3 linked regions of the Neurospora crassa OR74A genome follow. The protein of the gene in region 1 interacts with the protein of each later gene in a pairwise test. Links are inferred from orthologs where the notes say so. Each region holds a gene or a part of one and is shown in the gene's direction. Other genes may lie near its edges.

Region 1 (4,133 bases):
CCCCTACGAGACCACCGATGCCGAGCTGAACAACATCTTCGTCGGCATTGACGGTCTCAAGGACGTCCGCGTCGCCGTTGACCGTGCTACCGGCTGGCCCCGTGGCTTCGCCCACGCCGACTTCGTCGACGTTGAGGCTGCCGTCAACGCCTTGGAGAAGCTCCAGGGTACCCAGCTCGGCGAGAGGACCATCAAGATTGACTATGCTCAGCCCGCCGCTGCTCGTCAGCCCCGTGAGAACAACGGCGAACGCCGCGAGTACCGCCCCCGTCAGCAGCGTGATGGTCAGCGCGATGGTCAGCGCAGCTACAACCGCGACGGCGGTAACCGCAGCTACAACCGTGAGGGTGGCAACCGCAACTACAACCGTGATGGTGGCAACCGCAGCTACAACCGCGAGGGTGGCGACCGCAGCTACAACCGCGAGGGTGGCGACCGCAACTACAACCGCCGCGACCAGGGCGAGTCCACCGAGTTCTAAACTAACAAGCCGCAATCGAGGGCATGTAATGGTTACGACATGACTGGGTGAAGAGGATGGGAAACGGATGTAATGGAGGGCAAAACTGGGCAAGTTCGGTTTTCAAAAAAGAAAAGAGGCCGGTTGTGTTTCTTGACAAATGTTGCCAAAATTGGGGCACATTGGGATTGGGAAACTGTGGGATTGGTGTTGTGGCGCCTTTGCAGTACGATCACTCTGCGTACATCATCCTGACCTTTTGCTTGCAATGATACCTGTACAACTACGAAAAATCTTCTCTTCTTTCTTCTTACTGCGACTAGTTGTTTTCGTTTACCATTTTTTGTTGGTTATATCGCTGTACATATGTACGAATAGAGGGGTGGTCTTCTGTACCTTCTTTGCGTCCTGCATCCCGTATGCGTGACGTGACGATCTGCTCGAAACGCATCGTTTGATTGTTCATTTTCCCTTTCAACTTGCGTACATTGCCGTGCTGTCGGCATGCGAGTATGATTTCCGCACTCCGCTGTCGTCCGATTGTTCTCGGCTGTCGTTTGAAGGAACGAAGGGATCGATGATGGATCCGGGGGCGGGGGCGGGGGTGTACTCCACGGGCCGGGCTGGGGTTCGGCTCCATGTGAGGTGTGGTTGACAACACTCCATTGGCGGGGTTACCAGTAATAGCCGCGGCCAGGCAACAAGTGCCTGAGGTGTGGCCGGCAACTGCCACAGCCCAAAAAGACCTAACAAGAGCGCGGTGAGGTGGATATGATGGCTGGCTGAGGTGCCCTGGCTGCCTCGGCATTTCCAGCTGTTCAGGTGGCGCACGGCGGTGCCCCCCTTGTGCCCCTGAGTGACCTGAGCTTTTGGCGCCCAAGGTTCCAACTCACTTCAGATGCATGCAGAGCCCGATTTCTAACCACGCTGCTGCCATCCACACATGCCGGACCCAGACAACCCGCCCGTGCATCCGTGGGCTCCCGTCGTTACTTACAAGACAGCACACCTGCCACACATCCCGCGAGAGTCGGTCAACTTCTTTCTTTCACCTGGACAACTTCAGTTCTGGACACCGCCGCTTGATCACTAATTAATCAACTCCACGAGCTCACCACGCCCGTGCCTGGCTTGTTTGTTACTTCCACTTCTTTTTTTCTTTCCCTCTTCCAAACTAAAGTCATCCTTCCTTTGCCCTGCGCAAAAATCTACCTAGCTACCGCTACTTCCAGCCTGCCTCTACAACTTGCGCGGGCCGCTGCTTTCCCAACAGTCGACCGCATAGCGCTCTACTTCGTCTACCAGATAGTGTACAAGAGCCGCCCATCTTGTCTTCTGTCTTGGGCTTCGTTGTCAACTTTCGCCGAAACATCGCCATTGTCGCATTAATATCCAACATCTTCAAAATGTCTTTCATGGGTGGAGCCGAGTGTTCGACGGCGGGCAACCCGCTCAGTCAGTTTACCAAGCATGTTGGAGACGACAAGAGCCTCCAACATGACAGACTTGCCAACAGAGGTCCCAATGCTGCGGTTGGTGGCTTCCGGAGTATTAACCGCGGGCCTGGCCAAGATGAGGTAAGGAATCTTCATGGATATTGTTGACGGCAAGGCATGCGCTCTTGGCTGACATGACGATCCTCTCGAACAGATGGTGAACGGATTCCTAAACCAAACGCCGGAGATGGCTCATATGCCTCTCGAACAAGGACATATGCTTCACCTCGACCCGAGCCAAGGCGCCCACATGCGCGCCCCGAACGCCTCGCCAGCATGGGCTCAGGACTTCCACAACACACAGGCGGCTATGGAAGCCGCCTTCAATGCGCCGCCTGGCACTCAGTTCAGCGCCGATGAGTTTTCAAAGTTCCAGCAAATGCACCCCGCCGCGGCGCCGGCCACCGCCAGCCAGATGCCTGCTCAGCGCCCCATGATGGGTGGTGGCATGATGGGCATGGGCAACATGAACTACAACATGATGCAGCGACCCATGTACCAGCCCATGGTCGGCATGCACGGCCCTCAGATGCACAACATTCCCCAGCAACAACTACAGCCCGAGGGCAAGGGTAAGGGCAAAGTTGTTGAGCTCGACCAGAACAAGTGGGAAGAGCATTTTGCTCAGCTGGAGATCAATGGTGACGAGGCCCGCGCCATGGAGCCCGAGCTCAACAAGATGGACGAGGCGCTACTTCACTCCGAGACTGGTGCTGGCGATCTCGAATCCATCTGGCGCGGTATCCAGGCCGAAAGAGACGCCATGAAGGAGTTGGACGAGATTGATGTCCAGGACGACTTTGCCAAGTTCGACAGTGAGAACCTGGAAAAGGAAGATTGGACGCTGAACGGCAGGCTCGGCGCGGACCCTATCGTGCAAGAGTACCTCTTCGAGGAAGATAACCTCTTCAGGGAGACACCAAACCCATTCGAAGAGGGTATTCGTATCATGAAGGAGGGCGGGAACCTGTCGCTAGCTGCTCTGGCCTTCGAGGCTGCGGTCCAGAAGAACCCCGACCACACCGAGGCGTGGGTCTACCTCGGACAGACGCAAGCCCAGAACGAGAAGGAAGAAGCTGCCATCCGTGCTCTCGAGCGTGCCATGAAGCTCGACCCCAACAACCTCTCTGCTATGATGGGCCTAGCCGTCTCCTACACCAACGAGGGCTACGACAGCACCGCCTACCGCACGCTCGAGCGCTGGCTGTCGACCAAGTACCCCAGCGTCATCTCACCCAGTAACCTTTCCTCGGCCGCTGACATGGGCTTCACCGACCGCGCCCAGCTGCACGAGCGCGTCACCAACCTCTTCCTCGAGGCGGCCCGCCTCGCTCCCGATGGCGATCACATGGACCCCGACGTGCAGGTCGGCCTAGGCGTCCTGTTCTACGGCGCCGAGGACTACGACAAGGCCGTCGACTGCTTCCAGTCGGCGCTGCACTCGACCGAGCTCGGCACCTCCAACCAGCGCGAACAGATCCACCTGCTCTGGAACCGGCTGGGCGCCACTCTCGCCAACAGCGGCCGCTCCGAGGAGGCCATCGCCGCCTACGAAAAGGCCCTCGCCATTCACCCCAACTTTGTCCGCGCCCGCTACAACCTTGGCGTCTCGTGCATCAACATTGGCTGCCATGCTGAGGCCGCGGGTCACTTGCTCGCGGCGCTGGACATGCACAAGTCTGTAGAGAAGAGCGGACGCGAGAAGGCGCGCGAGCTGCTGGGCGGCAATGCGGGTGATAGCGACTCGCGTATCGATAACATGATGACGCAGAACAGGAGCACGACCCTTTACGACACTCTCCGTCGCGTGTTCACGCAGATGGGACGGAGGGATCTGGCGGAGAAGGTTACTACGGGCGTGGATCCCGAGATCTTCCGTGGTGAGTTTGATTTCTAGAGTGAGTCAGAGTTGGAGTTGAAAGAAGAGGCTCAGGAGTGGATGGTTGGGTATGACGCTATGGAGGATGTTTACTACGATGTTGATGTCGAAATGGAGAAGGCCTTGAAGGAGGAGCAGCAGTGGTGTGATGAGGACTTGGACGAGGGTTACTTGTCGAGTGAGGCGAGTACACTATGTTCGGATGATTATAGGGAGTTTTGGTGAATATACAAATATTAAGTACTGTACAAAGCGAATGTAGCTGGCTTGTCGGGGTTGTTAACAGCTTGTGTTGGGG
Region 2 (4,306 bases), on another chromosome or scaffold:
GGTTGAGTGAGGCACACTTCTACTTCTGCGAGCCGGACATATGGATGAGTTTCTTTGCTTTGGTGTTCGTGATGCGCACCAATCCGATGAAGATCAACTCTGATTGAAACTCGTTTGGGTTCACCTATGTAGTTGGCGAGGAAGACATCCACCCACCACCACCGGCAAAACGTGGGGTTGAAGTTTGGCGGCCCTCTTGGCTTTCTTTCCTGTTCTGGGCCGGGACTCAAGCTCACTGGGCCTGAATTGGAGAGAGAGTTTCTTGGCAATCGTCAATGCCATTGCCGTCGGCTACTTTGAGCCTCGGCTCGAGGGGTAAATGGGGTCAGCCAGTGGGTCACTCGGACAAGCGCATCCACTTTTTTTGCTCATTGTACCTCCGCTGTCGCCTACGTAGTCACGGTAGTCTACGGCGTATGCTCGGCCTCTCATATCATCTCAGCGGCCTATGTACGTAGTATAGATAGCGACGGAATGTGTAACTGCCCCACGTTTTTTGTTCCCTCCCAATCCAATCCCAGTTCAACGGGCAGTTGGAGAAACTAAAGAGACGGGAGATGGGGGAATGGGGAAGAAGAACGTGCGGGCGGAAAGATCCCCGCGAAGCGGGTACACAGACGGGTACATAGGGAGATAGGATGGAATGAGAACAGACAGGTACCACCACCGCGGAATCGAGCACCAGCAAGCATCACGGACCACCATCATGGGATCTGATCTGAAGAAACAGATGGGACATGGTCGACGACATGGTGAGCGGAGGATACCGTAGCCTGACACTGGCTCTCAGTTGGGGTAGGATTGCCCGGTGAGATCTATCTCTGTCAGTTTTGGAGACAAAGCCTCGGCCTACAGAGATATACATACATACATACCCTCAAGGTACCCTACAAATAAGTCCGGTCAAGGTTTCATGTCGGTGGTGGTTTGTCTCCCGTGCCCCGGTCCCCCCGTCTTGCCCGTCTCCATCGACAACCATCCCCCCATGGGCCGAGCCGGGCTATAGACAGACTACCCCCCTTCCCTATATCTAGACTACTTAACCGCTTAGGGCATGGCTCTGAGGAATTTGACCAATCTTTTTCATGGCTAACATTCCACTACAAAAATCAGGTGAAAGTCTGTTAGCTCACGATCGGTCATTTTCGCAAATTCCTCCAAGAAATAGTTAGTCACTTCTCTTGTCACTCTTGTCAGGGCAATGCACTTTTATTAGATGCATTCTCCCCCCCCCCCCTCCCAAAAAAAAAATTAAGAAAAAAAGAGGAAAGAAAGAAAGAAAACGAGTCCGGTCAAACTCAGATTACAACTAAGCGAAAGCTTCAATGTAGATTATTATAGAATAGATCTTCCTACCCGGGCGAAGACTGAGGATTCTACACTTCTTTGGCCTGTTGTAAAACTTTTCTTTTTTTGTACGGCGGAGAAAAGCTGAGAAGCCTTGCCCTAAGCGGTTAAGTAGTCTAGATATAGGGAAGGGGGGTAGTCTGTCTATAGCCCGCCTCCCATGGGCCACCTCCACGAGTAAACAATATCCACGAGACAAGCCCAAAAGTGTCCACTTGTTCCGACTTCCGAGCTACCGAGTCGTAGTCGGCAGCACCCCTCAAGGTGTACATCAAACCCACCGCCTCCACGTCTGCCTCATAACTTGCCTCGCCTCCCGCGTCTGCCTCACTGCCCAGCTCTCTCTTTTTATTCTTTTTCCCTTTTCCGCTTCCCGTTCCCGTCTTCACTGCTTGTTATTATTCTTCCTCTTCTTCTTCTTAGCTCCACCATTGTCTGTGGTTATCGAGTAATGTTGGCTTCCATTGTGCGATCTGAGGCTCGGTCTACTACGCTTAGACACCTCTTTAGACAACCAACCTCCGCTGCTATTACCCCTCTTGTAAGTCATGGATGGTTTCCCTTCCTTGCTGCGCGCACGCGACTGACTGACGACCTTTCTTTCTTCAGAGAATCTCCGCCATGGCGCAAACAAGGAAGAACAGCTCCCTCCCCGCCGGCTATGTCGAGGACAAGTCCAAAGGCCCCATGCTCCGCTTCCAGGAGTCTCTCCCCCGTCTTCCCGTCCCTACCCTCGAGGAGACGGCTGCCCGCTACTACCAGTCTTTGAAGCCCCTTCTCAGTCCCCAGGAGCTCGAGAACAGTAAGAAGGCCATTGACGCCTTCATTGCCCCCAATGGCCCTGGTCGCAAGCTCCAGGAGAAGCTGGTCGCCCGTCGCGAAGACCCCAAGCACAAGAACTGGCTCTACGAGTGGTGGAACGATGCGGCCTACCTCTCCTACCGCGACCCCGTTGTCCCCTACGTCAGCTACTTCTACTCTCACCGCGATGACCGCCGCCGCCGCGACCCTGCCAAGCGCGCTGCTGCCATCACCACCGCCGCTCTCGAGTTTAAGAAGATGGTCGACCAGGGCACTCTCGAGCCCGAGTACATGAAGAAGCTCCCCATCTGCATGGACTCTTACAAGTGGATGTTCAACGCCAGCCGCGTTGCTGCCAAGCCCGCCGATTACCCCGTCAAGTTCAGCGCCGACGAGCACAAGTACATCCTCGCCATCCGCAAGAACCAGTTCTACAAGATCTACCATGAGGTTGGCGGCAAGCAGCTCAACACCGCTGAGCTCGAGCAGGCCTTCAAGCGCGTCTATGAGCTCGCTGCCTCGCGCGCTCCCGCTGTCGGTGCTCTCACCTCCGAAAACCGCGACGTCTGGACCGACGCCCGCGCTACTCTCCTCTCCGCCGACCCCAAGAATGCTAAGGCTCTCGAGGCCATTGAGGCTTCTTCCTTCGTCGTCTGCCTTGACGATGCCGCCCCCGTCACCCTCGAGGAGCGCGCTCACCAGTACTGGCACGGTGACGGCCAGAACCGCTGGTACGACAAGCCTCTCCAGTTCATCGTCAACGACAACGGCACCTCGGGTTTCATGGGCGAGCACAGCATGATGGACGGCACGCCCACTCACCGCCTCAACGACTTTGTCAACGACGTCATTTTCAACAACAAGCTCGACTTCTCCGACCCCTCGGTGCGCTCCAACCTGCCCGAGCCCGAAGCCGTCAAGTTCACCGTCACCAAGGAGGTCCAGGCCGAGATCGACCGGGCCATTACTGACTTCAGCAACGTCATCGGCCAGCACCAGCTCGCGGTGCAGGCCTTCCAGGGCTACGGCAAGGGTCTGATCAAGAAGTTCAAGTGCTCCCCCGACGCCTACGTGCAGATGATCATCCAGCTGGCCTACTACAAGATGTACGGCAAGAACCGTCCGACCTACGAGTCGGCCGCCACCCGCCGCTTCCAGCAGGGTCGCACCGAGACGTGCCGCTCCGTCAGCGAGGCCAGCGTGGCCTTTTGCAAGGCCGCCAACGACGCGAGCGTCGACGACAAGACCAAGGTCGAGCTCTTCCGCAAGGCCATTGACTCCCACCTCGAGTACATCTCGGCCGCCTCGGACGGCAAGGGCGTCGACCGCCACTTGTTTGGCCTCAAGCGCCTGCTCGAGCCCAACCAGGAGGTCCCCGCTCTGTACCAGGATCCCGCCTACGGATACTCGAGTTCGTGGTACCTGTCTACTTCCCAGCTGAGCTCCGAGTTCTTCAACGGATACGGATGGAGCCAGGTTATTGACCAGGGATTCGGTATTGCTTATATGATCAACGAGAACAGGTCAGTTGCTCCACCTCTTTCTTTTCCCGCATACATGACAATCAGATGAAAATGCTAACACGTGAGACTTTCAACAGCCTCAACTTTAACATTGTCTCCAAGGGCCTCGGCTCCGACAGGATGAGCTACTACCTCAACGAGGCCGCCAACGACCTCCGCGATCTCCTTACCCCCACTCTGGAGGCTCCCAAGTCCAAGCTCTAAGCTATAGGCTGTAGGCTTTGGGCTAGGGCATGGGAAGTTGAGAAACATGGAAAGAAGAGGAAGGAAAGGAAATGAAAGGCATGACATGAGTTTTGGATAAGGAAAAAGATACATAGAATCCGGAAGGCGGATACAAGGAAAGAAGAAGAAACAGAAGAAGAACAAGGAAGAACAGTAGCATGCATGTTGTACCAGTCCGTTTTAGCTATATATCATGATGCCTTTTTTTTGGGCTCTTTTTTTCCTTCTTCCTGTTTTCTTTTGTTTGTTTCAACTTCATATATACCATCTGTTTCTACATCTGGTTCAGGTAGTTTTTGCCTGCCCGGGAGGAGGGTCAATAGTAAGTGGCATACATATCTGAACAAAATTTGCATAACGCCCTCGTGCCCGCCATGTCTTGTGAAGCTGTACAATATGTTGATATATTG
Region 3 (4,041 bases), on another chromosome or scaffold:
GTGGATGGAGATTTGACCTTCATTCAGGGAGTCGAGGTTGGCGTTGGACGTGGTACTGGAGGAGTTACCGTCTTGGTCCTTATCCTTGGGCAAGATCCTCCGCACCCGAAACTCCCTTGCCACGCCAAGCGAAAGAGACCCGATGACGGCTCGCGGACCAAGATAAGTCAACTGGTCGCTGTGCCAGCCGACATTCTGTTCCGGGCCATCGTACAAATTCACAAACGCCGCATTGGGCGACCAACGGTCGGGGGACTGGTACTTGAGTTTTTTACCGCCGTACAGGTGATGAGTCCGGATGCGCTTCTGGATCTCGGTATTAACGGCGTCCTGCACCAACGGCCGCACTGTTTCCAGCTGAGGTGTCAGGCGGCGGATATCGGAGAGGCGCGCGCCGTTGTAGAAGTAGGCCGATTTTTGCTCGGCCAGCTCGTAATCGCTCCCGACAAAGAAGCAGGATGTGTGGGGGCTAGAGACTACGTTATCGAAGAGCTTGAACGTGGCTTTGCCGAAGGTCTTGGCTTCTTCCAAGAGTTCTACCAAGAGGCTGTTGGCGACCGAAGGGGGGAGGAAGTTGTGGATGACGGTGCAAGGGGTGTGGGTGCTGATGTCGGAGGGGTCGTAGAGATGGAGTGTTGCGCCTTTCCGGGAAAGGAGCTTGGGTTTCTTGGGGATAATACTAGCACCGCCATGGTCGCCATCGCCGGTGGTAGATGGAACGGCGAAAGAGCGTAAAGAAGCCTGTGAAATAATACCTGACGACTTCTTCTTGGCTATCTGCCCTGCGCCCTGGGCACTTTTCAAAGCCTCCGTGGTGGCTTCCACGGATCCATCGTGGGTGATTAGAAGATCCAGTAACGCATCATGACCGAAGTCTGGATGCAATGAAGCAAGTATGGCCAGTTTGATATCGGTTGATTCTCCATCGCCATCCGGAGTGTTGTCAATGGGATTATTGAAGGCGGTGATAGTCTGCTTTATTTGCGTGGTGTCCACGTTTTCCTCCAGCGTCAACTCGGCTTTCCTCTTCCCCCTCGTTATGAACCTGTCCATTGCCACGGCTTAGAGGAAGGAGTACAAAATCTCGACATGTTGGAGTGTCTGTTACCATGGCCGGGTTCACGCTGGTTAGATGCGCGTGGGATGAAAGATGAACATGGATTTGTATTTTCAGACGCGTCCTTGTTACGAAGAGGAAGGAGGGGGACGTGATTGAAAGTGGCCAAACACGCGCTGTCACGGGGACACGTCGGTACTTATTTCTAGTGTGCACTATATTTTACGTATCCTGGGGCGACGTCATGGGTAGGCGCTATCCCTTAGAGAGTTAGCGAGCACATCCATCCATGCTGTGGGGCTCACGCCGTTACGGCCCGGGGCTTCCACGCCCGCGGCAGGGGCAACGTGCCGACCAGATATGGATTGGATGCCAGGCGGGCTTCCGGGGTACCCCACTAATATCCAGATGTAAGCTGACAAGCCGAGGCTTTCCCCACGGCGTTGTCGCTGTTTGGCGTTCTTCAATTAGTTTCCAACCAGCTTTCCATCCCGTCACAGTAAGTTCTGCCAACACCTACACCCGACGCCCGTTTCAAACCCTACCGATACGTCCAAGCCGTCGCCGTCATTTCCAGGTGCAACGCCTCATCTCGCGACCGTCGCTGGCAGATTCATTAGGCTGTCAACCACTCACGTCGGCTAAGAGGTCGTGCGCCCATTGCAACGCCAACCTTTTTACAGAGACCTCCTGATGGGCAGCACATGACAAGCCCACGTTTCTCGACATGGCGTCCATGCTGGAATTTCGTACCCCGGGCTACAATCCTTACGCCGTCAAGTACTCCCCATACTACGACTCACGCCTTGCTGTCGCCACTGCCGCCAACTATGGCATCGTCGGCAACGGTCGCCTCTTCTGCCTGGGCCTGAGCGCAGCCGGCGTCCAGTGCGAAAAGACCTTTGAGACAAACGATGCCCAATACGATCTTGCCTGGTCGGAGCTCAACGAGAATCAGCTCATTGTCGCTTGCGGCGATGGCTCCATCAAGCTCTTCGACCTGGGGGTGGAGAACTTCCCTGTCATGAACTTTCACGAACACAAGCGGGAAACGTTTTCGGTTTGCTGGAATCCCGTCACCAAGGACAGCTTCATCTCGAGTTCCTGGGATGGCACCGTCAAAGTTGTATGTGCTCATCTCTTGTGTTCCTCCCACCCACCATCGTAGCATCATGGCCGATCGACTTGCGCGCTGGCTTACAATCCTCCTACTCTGTCTTCAGTGGTCTCCCACGCGCAACGCCTCCCTCAAGACCCTCCCCATTGGTTGCTGCACCTACAGCACCTCCTACTGCCCCTCGAACGCCGCCCTCGTCTCCGCCGTCTCCGCCGACTCTTCCCTGCGCATCTTCGACCTACGCACGCCCGTATCGGCCAAGTACCACCTGACCAACGTGATCCCCGTGCACGCGCCGGCCACGGGCGGGTCAGGTTACTCGCGCCTTGCCGACGGCTCCATCTACTCGGGCACGGTGCCGAACGAAGTCCTGACGCACGACTGGAACAAATATAACGACACGGTGATCGCCACGGCGGGCGTCGATCGCGTCATACGCACGTTTGATATCCGCAACCCGGCCGGCGGTCCCCTGGCGCTCATGACAGGCCACGAGTACGCGGTCCGCCGCGTTGCATGGAGCCCGCACGCCAGCGACATCTTGGTGAGCGCCAGCTACGACATGAGCGTGCGCGTGTGGACGGACGGATCCACTATGCCGCAGCACGTTCAGCCACCGGTACCGAGCGGGCGCCAGCCTGACACTGTCCGTGCGGGAACTCAGTTGGGCCTTATGAACAGGCATACTGAGTTTGTTACGGGCGTGGATTGGTGTTTGTTCGGTGCAGGCGGTTGGTGCGCGTCGGCCGGCTGGGACGAGAGAGTGCTACTCTGGGATGCTGCGTCCCTGTTGCGTGGATGAAGAAGCAGGTTGTTTGAAAGAGGTGGAAAAACGTATTTGAGTTGATTGGTCTTTGAGTGGATTGCTCAGGCAAATTTACGTGGCAAACTGCCTGATAGTAAAGGAGTAGAAGATATGAGGGCAAAATCAAGACCGATCGACTATCGGCTGCTGAGAATCATTGCATGCACAAAAGCGCCCCCTCAGTTGCGCAGCGATACCCCGGGGAGTTTGTACGTCTAGAAGCCGACATTATACGAACAGAACAGACATGGTGACAGCGGACAGGAGATTTGACCAAACGTGTTCCTTGGCTGGAGCTTACGAAAGTAGGAAATAAATCGGTACAGGAATTGGGTTAAATTGACCGTCCCGACGCGAGAGTCGGTCAGTACGAGAGAAGGGGCGGGAAAGAGACAGAACATAATTGTATAAGGCATCTAGAGGATTAGAAGAACAGTATACCATGATTCGAGATGATGGTAAGCTCAAATTTCTACCCTTAGTATCGCTATGCGTTGAGACGTGTGGTACCAGTGTATTAAAGGAATGCAGTCAACTTGAGTATACATATTTGTCCATGACTATCTCTCTTGAGTATTACCGATACAGCTGGTGTCTCACCATCCCAGTTTGTGCTGTAACATCCAATTTCTTCCATTTGGCTTGGATCTTCTCAATCTTATCTCTTGCACCCCTTCCACTTATAGAATTTCTCGAGGGGTTCCCCAATATGGCTACAGACTCAACATCCTCGGAAATTCACGTCCACTTTGGCTTTCCGCCTCCCTCCCTCCTAATCCCAATAGCCCTGATCAATGGTTCAAATAGTACCACGCCTACCACGCACAAGATCGAGTTCCACACCTGAATGGCATACCACACCCACGCTCCCGGACTCGAGAACACAAATTTGAGCCAGTCATTCACCTGGTAAAAGTCTTCCTGCTTGGTGATTAGGTACCGCTTGCTGTTGTTGCCTCCATTGAAACCGTCGACTAGAGTCTCTGCTTCCTCGCTTGCTCGAGCAGAAGCCACGGGGGCGTTCTCAACAGCAACAGGGTTGCTTGGGTTGGGCGGGTGAGC

What was found.
Region 2: the proteins of pex5 (region 1) and NCU08002 interact in a two-hybrid assay, tested with the Saccharomyces cerevisiae proteins (2 studies listed by BioGRID). The link is inferred for Neurospora crassa OR74A from reciprocal best matches to the Saccharomyces cerevisiae genes PEX5 and CAT2.
Region 3: the proteins of pex5 (region 1) and pex7 interact in a two-hybrid assay, tested with the Saccharomyces cerevisiae proteins (2 studies listed by BioGRID). The link is inferred for Neurospora crassa OR74A from reciprocal best matches to the Saccharomyces cerevisiae genes PEX5 and PEX7.

Annotation. Positions count from the first base shown.
Region 1 is NC_026501.1:8,571,311-8,575,443, reverse strand, and holds the start of pex5 (peroxisomal targeting signal receptor), read left to right. Parts: upstream 1-1,325; 5' UTR 1,326-1,866; coding exon 1,867-2,037; intron 2,038-2,110; coding exon 2,111-3,853; 3' UTR 3,854-4,133. Other genes in the region: NCU16466 (nucleic acid-binding protein), read left to right, coding at 1-481. UniProt on the Saccharomyces cerevisiae protein: Receptor that mediates peroxisomal import of proteins containing a C-terminal PTS1-type tripeptide peroxisomal targeting signal (SKL-type).
Region 2 is NC_026504.1:3,880,591-3,884,896, reverse strand, and holds NCU08002 (carnitine acetyl transferase), read left to right. Parts: upstream 1-1,504; 5' UTR 1,505-1,798; coding exon 1,799-1,888; intron 1,889-1,956; coding exon 1,957-3,671; intron 3,672-3,748; coding exon 3,749-3,875; 3' UTR 3,876-4,259; downstream 4,260-4,306. UniProt on the Saccharomyces cerevisiae protein: Carnitine acetylase is specific for short chain fatty acids. Carnitine acetylase seems to affect the flux through the pyruvate dehydrogenase complex. It may be involved as well in the transport of acetyl-CoA into mitochondria.
Region 3 is NC_026504.1:2,328,739-2,332,779, forward strand, and holds pex7 (peroxisome biogenesis factor 7), read left to right. Parts: upstream 1-1,480; 5' UTR 1,481-1,784; coding exon 1,785-2,183; intron 2,184-2,280; coding exon 2,281-2,976; 3' UTR 2,977-3,539; downstream 3,540-4,041. Other genes in the region: NCU07663 (GRF zinc finger domain-containing protein), read right to left, coding at 1-1,053; NCU07661 (hypothetical protein), read right to left, coding at 3,718-4,041. UniProt on the Saccharomyces cerevisiae protein: Receptor required for the peroxisomal import of proteins containing a C-terminal PTS2-type peroxisomal targeting signal, such as 3-oxoacyl-CoA thiolase. Specifically binds to cargo proteins containing a PTS2 peroxisomal targeting signal in the cytosol.